Drosophila melanogaster: one gene and its partner. The protein of the gene in region 2 interacts with the protein of the main gene of each other region in a pairwise test. Each region holds a gene or a part of one and is shown on either strand. Other genes may lie near its edges.

Evidence for each region. The genes of interacting proteins can lie anywhere in the genome.
Region 1: the proteins of CG7384 (region 2) and Peritrophin-15a interact in a two-hybrid assay, tested with the Drosophila melanogaster proteins (one large-scale study listed by BioGRID).

What each region holds. Positions count from the first base shown.
Region 1 is NT_033779.5:8,392,953-8,397,764, forward strand, and holds Peritrophin-15a (Peritrophin-15a), read right to left. Parts: upstream 3,145-4,812; 5' UTR 3,111-3,144; coding exon 3,101-3,110; intron 3,030-3,100; coding exon 2,761-3,029; 3' UTR 2,713-2,760; downstream 1-2,712. Other genes in the region: Acp29AB (accessory gland protein 29AB), read right to left, coding at 1-259; lectin-29Ca, read right to left, coding at 608-1,318; Peritrophin-15b, read right to left, coding at 1,581-1,852, 1,920-1,929; CG13385 (uncharacterized protein), read left to right, coding at 3,788-4,812.
Region 2 is NT_033779.5:10,507,359-10,516,291, forward strand, and holds CG7384 (uncharacterized protein), read right to left. Parts: upstream 3,096-8,933; 5' UTR 2,881-3,095; coding exon 2,348-2,880; intron 2,286-2,347; coding exon 2,142-2,285; intron 1,927-2,141; coding exon 912-1,926; intron 855-911; coding exon 729-854; 3' UTR 511-728; downstream 1-510. Other genes in the region: CG6094 (uncharacterized protein), read left to right, coding at 61-510; Fatp1 (fatty acid transport protein 1), read right to left, coding at 4,309-5,250, 5,310-5,511, 5,577-6,206.

The DNA of each region.
Region 1 (4,812 bases), 2.1 Mb from region 2:
TTTCCATCTGGGCCTTAAACTCCAGCAAGCTACTTGCTATGCGCATTTCCATTGTATCAATAATTGCCAATGTTTCGTTTTGTTTAAGCGCGTTGTATGTAAACCAATAATTCTGGTTAATACCAATCTGATCGATTGTATTTTGCGGCGTTTGTGGACTTGGCAATGTAGCCTTTCCGTTCGGAATGTCCTGCTGCCCACCACTGAGATCCCAAAGGTTCCATAATGCCAACAGGTATAAGAGGTTAGATGCGTACATGTCCAGTTTGGAAGATTTCAAGCGTGTGAGATCCAATCTGGCTAAAGAACTTCCAATGAGCTCAACTAATTTTGTCACGCTTTTTAATGATAATGTAACCGTTTTAAAGCATCACTGTGAAAAGCAAAAAGGCTGGAAAAATTAAAAAAAATGAAAATCTACTATGGTGTATTGAAAAAAAAAAATATAAAATGCCTAAAGTTAATAGCTTTATTATTAAAGACACATTGCAATTTTGATGATTTAAAAAAAATACATATTAAAGTTTAAAGGAGTTCAATTTTTAAACCTTTATTATCAAAGTCACATTTAAAGTTTAAAATAGTTCTAAAAATCAATGCTCGATATTCAGGCCCATTGCTCGGCTTGGCAAGCAAAATAGTTATCATTGGCACAATTTTCAAAGTACATTTCATTGGAATTGATATACACGCAATGGTTATGTATATTTGTGGCCAGATTTGGCTTCCATTTCAGAAATGGTACATCCCTTCCGGATAGTGTAGAAATCCAGGACGCTCCATCGTTGGCACGGCTGTTGATATCTACCCAGTACTTTTTTTTGGTTTCCTCTGAGAATATTTCATTCAGCTCCTTCTCATCGAGGATATTCGCCAGGTGACCGCCCATTTGACGACACGTGTCGTATGCGCTATCCCAGGGCATCTTCTTTTGCTTTTCTAAGTAAAAGTGCCGGGAGCCAATCTTCTTGAATACGGACATTTTGATTTTGTTGGACATTTTAACGTTTTCCATGTAGGGTTCAATTTGTTGCTTTAGAGCCCGAAGTTTAGTTTCCATCTGGTTTTGAAAGGACTGCAATCGCATTTCTAAGCGTTGCTCCATATTACCAATTCTCCACAAAGTTCCATTTTGTCTTAGCGAATTGTAGGTAAACCAGTGCTGCTGGTGCATATCAATATTCTCGATTGTATAATACGGCATTGGTGCTTTTGGCAATTCATTTGTTCCTGTGGAAGTATCCTGCTTTTTGGCACTGACGCCCCAAAAGTTCCATAAAGCGAAAATGGAGAAAATGCAAGTTGCGTACTTGTACATTTCGAGGGCTAATAGTCTGTGAGATCAATTATTTAATTCCTCCTCGGACTAACCCTTTTTTTTACACTTCCCAACGAGATAATCACCCGGAACATTAACCTTTTCAAGCATTAAATACTCTGTTAAAAATTCGATAAAGATCCGAGAAATCTAGAGATATATTCTAGACTTCATTCAAGCCCATCTTCCCAGTTAAATACCATTACAAATGAACCAAAAAAAGTTAATGAAAAACGTATAAACTGCAAGAGAAGTTTATTGCTTAAGTGGATGCTTCGGAACATGGAGGATACCACTGCCAAACGCTCCAATCGACGCAGCTTCCAGTTTTCGGATCGAATCCAGTGTTCTGCTCGCAGGCAACTAGCTCGGCCTGTCCGGTGCTAGAGCACTGCCAGTAGTGGGTTGGATCCCAGAAGTCACGGGAAATCTCTCCGGAGCGTCCCACGCAATCGGGCTCACCATTGCCATCGGGATTGCAGTCAAGGTCGGCGTAGATGGCAACGCAGAGGGTCAGGAAGAGAAGGACTAAAGCTGAAACAGAATTCCGCTATTGGCATCTCAATGGTTTCAGCGATGTGAGGTCATCAATGAAACTCACCTGCTTTCATTGTGGTTTGTTCGAGTGATTAATACCGAATGCGATTGGAACGCAACGTTCGACATTTTATAGCCACCTGCTATCTATTCCCTGACATATTGTCTGAGACAATCGGAGCTATACATTCTATTTCTTAAAGAACATGAAATCGTTTAAAAATAATCTCATGATCACGATTGGTATCTGTATCTCGACAATTCGAACATTTGACGCCGTCGTACAATTCGTTTTCAAACAAAGAAGTATATTTCACCAAGTGTTGTAGTATACTTAGTTATGATATTAAAATATTATTGAACAAAAAATTTGCATATGATTTGTTTGAATTGACCGGCTCCTATTTAGACAATTTATACCCTGTAAAACTTTACACACTGAGACACAGTGTTTTTGAAATAAACAAACAAATTTTGAAACCAAGCTCTAGTTAAAAAATAAAGTTGTTTGTAAAATTAAAGTATATTGTTTATACTTTATATGATAAAGTATAATTTACTTTTCTCTCGTTCATAAACATTTTATTGCATTAAATGCAAATTAGTAGCAATACGAGTACTGTCTAATCTTTATAGGTTTCCAAGATATCATTTGGACAAAAACATCTCAAAAATGTTATTTACAAATAATAATGAAACTCGTTAACACTCAACTGTACTCAACATCCTATAGAAAGCGACTGAGCAGAAACAAAATATTCTATATACCAATCTAGGTTGCTCTATAACATTTTCCCATATCTTCGAATACTCGCAAGAACATGAGATATTTTAAAAATCCAAACAATGTATGTAATCATTTAGTTTGCCATATATTTTCATTTTTGTTGTTATTAAAAATGCAATCAACAGTAAGCAGTCCAAGACCATTCGCTCCATGAAACGCACTCCTTCTTTGTGGGGTCGAATCCAGTGGACAACGGGCACAACACAGCCGTGGCCGTGGAGGTGGAGGACTCACACCACCAGTAGCGAGTGGGATCCCAGAAGTTGCGGATGTTCGTTTGCACGTTGGATGCGTCGCTGCAGTCGGGCTGGTTGTCAGAATTGGGATCGCACGCATTTCCGGTGCTTAGGAGCGCCACGAAGAAGGCAAGGCAGATCAAAAGTAGTGCTATGGGATCGGCAAAGGGTTGAAGTATATTTCAAATGGGGATTCCTTTTCGATTTGCTCAGCTAACTTACCGGACTTCATGGTGCAATTGAGTTCCCACTGGTTTCGTAAGTGTGCTTTAACTGGGCGAATTCGCAAGCTTATATACCCCAGACCGGCACTGATATTGGCTTTCATCAATAGCAGTTATCTCCGTTGGCGGGAAGCCTGTGCGAAATTCTATTTTGGCAGCGACATGAAATCGTTTCAAAATAATCGCACCTTGTATCGCCCACCGTATCTGTATCTGTATCTCAGCGCATTGTACGCGCCCCTAAGTTTTGTTGACGCAATAGTTTGATTATATGGATGTGTCGTAAAGGTCATGCCGCGTGCCACAATCCAAACTGGGTAGCACTCCTATCAATAAGTTAAATATAGTACAAAACTAGGACAGTAAGGTTTATAATCGAAATTTAAATTTGGGGGCTTCTATTCAAATACCTAATACTTAACCGTGGGGAACCCCACATTCTTAACGCAAACAAGTCATTAGAATTACGCATTTATATTTATATTAATATACTACCCTTAACTGTTGGTGATAGCACTACCGCACTACTAACCTGGTTTTTAATCAACCCATCCGCTATACCGTATACCATACATATCGAAATATAAAACTCCAAAATATAACATTAAATCGCAGTAGGTGTCACACAACTAATTATTTGCGATATTAATGATTACAAATTGCTCGTGATAAATCTCCCATAGCGATGGAGTCGAGGGTCACCAGCGGCACAGGTCCACCGAACACCATTATGATCCAGCTGGTGTCCCAACAGCCCAGTTCCTGTGGACAGATGCAGGCCATGCCCATTTCGGTGCAGACGATACCCTTGTTCCCCAATTCCAGAACATCGACAGAGCGACCTTGTCGATCGGTCTCCATTGCCCCGAATGTAAGACCTCCAACGGATGTCCCTCCTCCTCGAAGGAATTTAAGAATCCGACCCGAGGAATATGCGACACCCAAGCGGAAGAATTCGCAAAGCCAGTTTCGTCATTTCTCCCGCAGCATAAACCAACCTCCACCGGTGTACTATGTTCTTCGACCAGAAGACCGTATTATGCCCATCTACATACCACCTCCGAGGTTTAACAATGAGCAAGGATCAAGGATGGCGACGGAGTGTCCTTGCTGTGGCCATGCCAAGTCATTGAACCCGGAGGAACCTCTAAGAGTCCACGTAGCGCAGAAAGAGTTTGTCAAATTAGAGAAGGCAACTCCTGGACATCGGGATCAATGTACTAACACCATTGACCAGCCAGATGTGGGAAATATAAGGACGATTTACGAAACATTGGGACGCGCAATGGTCACTGCAGCCGTGGAGGCAGCCCAGAGATCCCAGCCAGCAGGACCCTCAGATCCGACAAATGTAATATTGAAACTATTAACCCAATTGGGGGAGCAGAATCAAACAACAGGCTTGAGTCCACATTCAGAAGCAGTAGCAGAAAGTCCCGACCACCAACCACATATGCGCAGGCCCAAAGCTAGCTTTACGGAAGCAGTCCGCATGATGGAGAGGACCTCGTCTGATCCTTCCATTGCTAAAGGGCCACCAGATGAGCTAGATGACCAACGTAGGCTTCCATCTGTACTCTCCGATGGTCGTCTTCGCGTCGAATATCCGAAAACGCCTAGACCAACACCAACATACTCCGTCGAATCTGAAAACACCCTCAGTAATCATATGTCCTCGGAGAGATTAAGACTCGATTCTGGTTCCTCGCC
Region 2 (8,933 bases):
AGTGGATGCAGTGCCTTCAGGGATCCCATCTATTGATATATGTATACATCCCCCACCCAGCCCAGTGGCAGCGACAAGTTCAGCGGCTTCATTCCCATGGACCGACTGGAGATCACCTACAGCAGGAGCTCCGGACCCGGTGGTCAGCACGTGAACACGGTGAATACCAAGGTGGATGTACGCTTCAAGGTGGCACAAGCGGACTGGATACCCGAGCAGACGCGCCAGAAGCTGCTCAAGGTGCTGGCAAACCGGATTACCAAAGACGGCTACTTTTACATCAAGAGTGATCTTACGCGCTCCCAGCAAATGAACCTGGCCGATGCGCTGGAGAAGCTGCGCACCATCATACGCTCCCAGGAGGCTGTGGCACCTGCGCCACCCAGCGAGGAGACACTGGAGAAGCTGCGCAGGCGCCAGGAGCGAGCGGTCCGCGAACGTCTACAACTGAAACGTGGTCGCGCCCAAGTCAAAGCGGATCGGCAGGGACCGAGCGGATTAGACTTGTAGTTTTTTATTGGAAATTGTTATACAAAGATGCACATTACACATATACGCTTAACTATGCTATGGACGCCATTGCAGGTTAGCACTATCACAGATTCTGTACGGACATACCCCCTGCTGGAGTATAACAACTAATTAACTTTACAAAATTGACACTTACATTATTTAAATATTATACAAAGATCTGTGAGAGTGGAAACCCAAATGGACTTGACAACATTCTAGGTCTGCTCGTCCACTCGAGCTGGTGTTACCGTAAATCTCTTGGAGCTCGCGACTTGGATGGCCGCATCCCTAGCTGGCTCGTCCTTTCCCACTTGCGATGGCATGCTCGCGAATCGTGGACGCTGGAATACACGAAATGAGCACTCGGGATAGACAAGACAGCTTTGTGTGCTACTTACTGGCTGTGGAGGACTCAGCTGAACGGAGACCTCGTGGCTCCGTTGCGATGGTCTGCTTACTACGCTGTGGCGTTGGCGTCGTTCTACTGCTGGTGGATTAAACCCTATTCTCGACGCATACAATTGTTCCAGGCGATGGATGGTGGAGATGCCGGCGCCAGGCGGTTGTGGCATTGAGAAACTATGTCGGTTGCTGAGCGGCGACCAAGTGTGCTGGTAGTTTGATTCGTCCAGATGGCGCAGGAACTGACGATTGATGGAGCCCAGTGCGTGCTTGTCTTCGGTGGCCAGATTGGCTATTAGCTCGTTGAGTATCTCCGACTCCGTTTCCACTTTGCCATTACGCGCCAGCTTTATGTCGTGCTTCCAGAACTGTCGGTTTTTGCGCCCAATCACCGGGGCAATCTCCTTTACCTTCAGCACCAGGATGCCCATGAGATAGACGCACAGAACGTTGGACAAAGTTAGGCACATGCTGATGCCGCCGAGCACGGCCAATTCAGTGGCCTGGTTGTCCGAGTAGCGGCGCGATTTAATCACATCCACGTAGAGCGAATCGTCGTTCTCGAATATCTTGTAAATGCAGGCCACCGCCCACAGCAGACCGGAGTTAACCGCAGGCGGTAGCAGCGATGCCGATATGGCCACGCCAACCAGAGAACCAATATTCCCGCCCAGGATTCCGATGGCAGCCGCCGCTCCCGACGGTATGGCCGTGAATACCCCAACGACGAGGGAGTGCAGATCGCAGCGGGATAGCATCTCCTCCGTCAGTCCCTCACCAATGCCATACTTGCGATCCGTGGTGCACACAACCAGACCGAATAGGAAACCCACCAGTGTGGCGGTCAGTATACCAATCAGTTCGTTCAGCATGCCCAGCCTGCGGAGCGATCGATCCTGGATCACAGTTCCAAAGATGGCCGCTATTATGGGACCCATCAGTGGGGAAATGAGCATGCTGGAGGCCAGGAAAATCGTGCTATTCTCCACCAGGCCAAAGCTCGCCAGAACTCTGTAAGGGAATAGGTGTTATCACAGGTGTTATCCTACAACTTGAAGATATAGAATATTGGATTTCGAAAATTTCTAGATCATTTCCAGAAACAAGATTGTATTACAAGCTTAGTTCCATTTAATTAGGTAATGAAAATCTTGGAAAATCGTTTTTTACTAGGCACTTTTCCAAATTCCAATTCTATAATATTTATATTAAAAGTGACTTCTTACGCCGCCGAAACTAGGAGTATGCAAAAGTCGAAGGTAATAGCCGCATCCTGGCGCACATCCCTTACGATCTGTGCCACATTCAATCGGGATCGCACCGAGTTCATGAACCGATCCCAGATACCCTGCTTCTGGGCATTGATGTGTCTGTAGATGATGGATCCTGTGAACTGAAGTAGCTTGAACTTTTCCATTTTCATTTGACTTACTCTGTGCTCGATGGTTGGTCCTCCTGCTCCTCCGTATCCTCACGCTGAACGTAGGATCTGTGGGCCAGGCAGCTGACCACGGATACTGTAGATCCCTCACGATCACCGATGCCGAATTCCTGCAGCGCCTCATAGAGATTCTCGTAGCGTTCGTCAAAGTCCATGGAGAAGCTGATGTGGTAAGCATTACCCTCTAGACTGGGCAGCCAAACGGCATTGGGTATGTGAAATCTGTGCAGGATCTGGCGCACCACCTGCTCCTGGTCCGTGTCCAGTGGGATATCAAGCAGCTGATCGTGGCACGTCTGAATTTCAATCTTTGGCAAGGTATTTAGGACTTTGTGGCTCTGCCGTTCCGGGGATTCCCCGATCCGAATGGTCGATAAGCTTTCAATGGTTGAGGTTCTGCTGGCGGTACCCATGGGCGTGGCGACCTCTCCATTGACCACCTGGACGTACACCTTCTTCAGGCGCTCCTCCTCCGCCTTCGTGGGTATCGTAATGCTGAGTCGCACTGCCGCTGTTCCCGTCATCGTTGCGTTTTGGTCTTGACTTTCTGGACTCGAGGTAAACACCTCACACACTTTGTATGAAATCGATCGAGCGATCGACAATCATCCGTACTCACACGTGGACAACTGGGCGGATCGCACCCGGCAATGCAACTGCAATAATCTTCTTTGCACTGGAAGCGAATTGAAGCCTCGCTTGTTATTGCCGCCACTGATAACGGTTCTCGACTAGCTGCTGCTTCCTACCGATCTGCCAGTCACCCGGAAGACTCACCCACTTGGTCATATTTAGGATCTGCGAGGGAAAGAGCTTTTTCTTTCGCCCGCCCTCCAACTGATTTGAATTTTCCATTGCAAAGTTTAATATCAAATGGAATAGCTCTGAACTATTAGGAACTATCATCCTAATATCCAGATATAGTAAGCATGTTCCAAAGAAATTGAGATATTCTTTAAGTTCTCTTAAAAGTGGATGTGTAAGTACTTTATTTGGTTTTTCTTTGAAAGAAAGACTCATTGTGTTACATTATTCTTCTAAAATATCAAAAAGATTTGAAACGTTTTCTGATTGAATGATGCTACCAATACTAGCACTGGCTTAAACAAGCTAACTGCTAGAATATAATTACCCCTTAATTGCTGTCCATTAAATGGGTATCTCTAATAGTGCGATAATGAAAGAGTAAGCAAGCAGTGAGTAGTTATATTCTCAACTTTTCAAAAATCACAGAAAGCGGAGTAGAACCATAATTAAATTAAGGGCGCATCTTCTATTAAACGTTATTGTCGTTAGCTGATTCACAGATTATTATATAATGCTATTAAAAATTCTCGTTAATTTCATGCACTTGAACGTCGACAAGGTTCAAGTTTGGTTAATTGAATACTCACAGCATGGGTATGAGTGTAAGTATATCTCTATGCATTTCTATAGATCGGAGAGTCGAGGAGCGAATCGCACATAATCATTTGTATGCAGGTGGAATGGTGTCATTCTGCCGCACGATAGACTGCGAATTTAAATACGTGGTCCGTGGTGAAGGAATAAACTTTATTTGATACAAAAACATCAGAGCTTCTCATATGTACAGGCAAAAACGAAACGCAACGAGAATGGAAGTGTAAATGCCACTAAAACTGACTAAACAATAGCTGAAATTGCATTTAACAAGGTTCTTTAGCACGCTAAAAACAATTGAAATGCGTATAGGAGGCTATCATCTACACAAATGCAGATACAACTACGTTTACGATATACGATATATATATGCTTACGATATACAAAAGTGCATTGTTGACATGGAAATGTGCTTCGGATGCATCTCTCCTAGGCTGAATGATCTTTGCTGCCGATTTCCCCCGATTTTCCTCTACTACACTTAGCCTTACAAACTAATTAACAGCATATTGGGCAAAAGGCAAGGTTCAGACACAACTCTATTGCAGCTCTTAGAAGCGGATTTCGTTGCGCTGCACCTGGTCGTAAACCTGGGGCGTGAGCAGCTCGTACCGACCCTTGGAAGTCTGGTAGTACAGCGCGTCCTTGATCGCGTTCGGATCGTAGCCCTCCTTCTGCAGGTCTACCTTGCGCAGCTTAAAGGTTCCAGTCAGGTCCACCTTGGTGAGCAATCGAATGATCTGGGGACGAGCGTACGCGGGCAGCACCTTGGCCAAGCTAGCGGCGAAGACGTCGAGGTCCAATTCTCGCTCCGGATCATAGATGGCGGCCATGCCGGCCCTTCCCTCGGTGTGCGGAATGGTTACGCCGTAAACGACGGTATCCTTGTAACCGGCCACATTGCTGACTTGCGCCTCCACCTCGCTGGTGGAAACATTCTCGCCCTTCCAGCGGAAGGTGTCACCGGTGCGATCCTTGAAGTACAGATAACCCTTCTCGTCGGCAACCAGCAGATCTCCGGAGATGAAAGCCATATCGCCATGCTTGAACACATCCTTAACAATCTTCTTCGCGGAGGCCTTTTCATCGACGTATCCGAGGAATTCGCGAGAAGGATTTCCTTTGACGATCTTGCCGATGAATACGCCTGGCTCGTTGGGAGCGCACAGTTGGCATAGGCCATTCCTATCTCTAATGGGCTCTCCGGTGTCCGGATCGGCGCGAATGATCGAGATTGGGTAGATCTTGGGCAGGATGCGCGACACAAAGCCGATGGCGCCCACCGTGTTGTCATGATTCATGATGTTCGCATTACCCTCGGTGGCGCCGTAGAACTCGCCAACCTTGGCAATGTTGAAGCGCTGCACAAACTGTGGCCAAATCTGCGGTCGCAGTCCGTTTCCAAAGACCAGACGCACTCGGTGTTTCTGGTCGTATTCCGAGGGTTTCGTAGCTAGAATGTAGCGAGCCATCTCACCGATATACTGACCAATCTGGAAATCACAAAAGCCAAATTAGAGAGTGATTTAGTTAGGCCATAAATCTCACTTACAGTTGCATTATACTTGGCGCAGTCGGCGAAATAGTTGGATGCCGAGAACTTCTTGCGAATGGAGACCGTGGAGCCAAAGAGCACCGACTGACCCATGCACATAATGCCACCAGCGGTGTGGTACAAAGGCAAGGGCGTGTAGAAGATGTCCTCCTCCTGGAAACCCATGGTGTAGTGGATGCCAGCAGCGATAAACAGATAACTAAAGTACAAATTTGTTTAGAACCTTTCCATTTAAACTTAGTTCAGAAAAGCTATTGCACTCACCGGGAGTGAGAGATAACCGCAGCCTTTGGCAATCCTGTGGTGCCGGAGGTGTAGATGTAGACCAGCTTGTCGTGGTGGTTAACCTGCGTCTTGTTAGGCTTCTCATAGCTGGCCGTGGTCAGCAGCGCGTTCAGATTCTTGGCCTGCGGTATGTTCTTTTCCGTCTCGCTGTTGTTGTTCTCGTTGTTGAACTGGAAGAGTGTGAGGTTCGCTGGCAGATCCTTGGCCACGTCGGTGACAGCTTCCAGGAAGTCCTCGCCGTAAATGAGAGCCGAGCAATGGGCCACCGTGATGCTGTGCAGCAGGGAGGGACCGCGCAGATTCGTGTTGATCAGCGGTGTGATCACACCGATCTTGGAGAGACCCAGCCAGGTGGCCACGTACTCGGCGCGGTTCTCCAGCAACAGGGCCACCACATCGCCCTTTTTGTAGCCCTGAGCCTGCAGCACATTGGCCACCTTGTTCGCATGCTCGTTCACCTGACGGAAGGTCCAGCGTTGCGTCTCACTGACCACAGCCACCTTGTCCGGATGGGCCTGAACATTTCGTTCGAAGACGTCCGCCACCGTGTAGTTGAGCCGCTCATGGCGCTTCGTGTACCTCAGCAGCTTGATATAGGCCCAGAGAGCTCTGTTAAGGGGAAATTTGATTAGTAAATTAAATATCAAACCTGATAAATCGAGGAATCTTCAAACGAACAATGCTAAATTAGTTAGTGCTATATAAAAGTGTGTTGACTAGACAATATTTTTGAAGATAGCGTATCTTCTTTGCAATGGAAAATCCACAAATAACGTGTATAACCAACGGATATTGATATGTTACTCAGTTTTGGAGGGAAAGTGTTTGATTAGCGGCTAGTCGAGGATAGTAGCCGTACCGGCATTATCTTTGCCATCAATCGCGTGTGTTTTATGGTTAGTGGTTGGGGTCTGTATAAATAGCCAACAGAAATCGAAGCTCGACAAGCGCAACAGCCGTGATGCGATAAACCCAGAGATAAACCCGCTCGAAGTGGTTGCAATTCAATCCGAACGTGGTAACCTAGTCCGACCATGCGAGCCACAACTTAATGACGCTGCTAATTTCGAGCTGAGTAATGCAAAGTTCACGGGAAGGTTGAGATAAAATCGTATTTGTTTAGCCAGTTTCAAGGGCTTTTGAATTTTCCGGGAGAAAGCTTAACCAATAGCTACAGATATCTAAATCTGACGTTTATATTTTCATTTGCAATCGTATAATCATTGGAACAGAACTCTTACACATCTTAGTATCTTATCACTTATGAGGATTAAGAGTTTTATACTTAAACTGTAACTGTTGTTTGGCCCATGTTTATCAATATTGAAGAAGCTATCGGCAAAATAAATAAACCTGCACACTGAACGAAGGCAGATAATGTTTATCATTGACTAGCGGTTGAAATAAATTGCACTTGTATTGACAAATGTGAGTTTAGAAATTTGATTTTTTTGTAATCATGTGTATTTCTTATAAAGATAGATGCCTTCAAGTTGTTACACGGTATTAATTTGTATAAACTATAAAGAGCTGCCTCTGTAATACTAATAGTTTCCTCTACAAGTTCTAGAAGAGCTGATGCTACGGTCTGAAAGGCATTTGCAAGCACTTAAGATCCACAGAGATTTGATACGATAGGAAAGAGTGTGAGGTAGAACTAATCCAAATCGCAAATACAATAGTTCGATGGGAACTGTATTAGAAAAGGGGGAAAAAAAACCTACACTCGACTTGGGACTCGACCACAACGACGATCTCAATTTGAATTCGCTTTGCACCCGTGCGTACTTTGCACCGTCAACGGGGCAGTGAAGTGTCGATAAGATTGCCGGTAACAGCTAGTTAACTTAGCTTAGCGCTTAACGCACATTAGCCGCGTATTTATAGGGTTTTTAATCAGGCCTTATGACCCCCATCGAGTGCTTTGTTTGCTTGGCTCCTTTTGGAGTTGCTGCACATGTTTGCCCGCAGATTGGATTCGTCTACTTGGTGGCCGAGCAAAAAACTTCGATACGTGGCCAAGGTTGACCGGCCAGACTTGAAGTTGATCTTAAGAATCTGTTGTGAGCGCGAAATATACGAATGGCCATATAGACGAGCTGGGTAAATGGGAAACCAGTGTTGGCCTTGGCATGGAACTTGATCTGCCGAGTTTGACTCATTAAGCGAAAACTGCCGAGCAAATTAAATGCTGCTGAGAATACTTGCTATTTTAATAGCTATAACTTTACGTATTTAACCTTATTTATGGTCAAACATAATTTTGTAAAATGCGTTGCAATGTGTGAATATTTGCGAAGGCTATAGCTCAATTCAAACTTAATTGAATCTTAAAATACTTAGTTAAAATGAAGTGTAAAGATTTTGCTCCTATTAGTTAAGGTGTTTGGTTAGATGGTTTTGGTTGTAAAAATGTATATTACTAACAATACCTGTGCTAAAAAGCAATATCTATAGCCGTCTTCAAAATACATACACAAGTCAAAAGGCGACACTTCCGCTTTTTTAATTATCGTAACGACAGACGACACAAAGTATATTGATGAGACATACATAATTTTGACAAGCTTTTCGTTCGCTTATTGCTTGGTCTACAATTGGTATAGTTTGGCTTGCCGTGGCAACCCTGGAATCTTAACACTTCCACTGTAGCCATAAAAAAGTGAATCACTTAAAAATTAAAAATCTATGTGGTTTATAATATTATTGTAATTTCTTTAAATTTATACTATTTATGAGGTTAGCAAACTTACTTTGATATCCAAGTCCTAGACATTCTTAACTATAACAATTTTAAAAGTAAAGAGCTGCTTAAAAATTCTGAATACTTAATAACCTTTCTGCAAAATTTCAAAATGTAAGTAGCCCTGGCAACCCTGGAAAAACGAAAATTCCAAGACGCAGGCGACACTTCCGCCATCATAATGACCCAAGCTTTGGCTCTTTGGCGTACGTTTTCAAGAACAGATCGGTTAGTGTGCCAGTGGTCTTCCGCCTGACGCACTCGATCGCATTCGGATCGATTAGTATGCGCGGAGGGTTTCGCTGGGCGACGATCGTATGAAGTCAATGGTAAATAAAAGCGAGTTTTGTTTTGGTTTCTCGTAGGTTTTTTTTTTTTTTTGGGCTGTGCGACCTTGAACCTGAAGAAGTCAATAAACTGCTCGTAATCGAGTGGCAAAAACTAATAATTTGCGTTGACTATTCGTCACAATGTCGCATGGATCATTTCGCCAGTTAAGTTTTCTCTTTTATGGTTTTCCCAACTGGAAATGAATGCTGCTGTTGGCGACCCAAATAGATGGAAAACGAGTTTTTTCCACTGTGGTTTCTGAC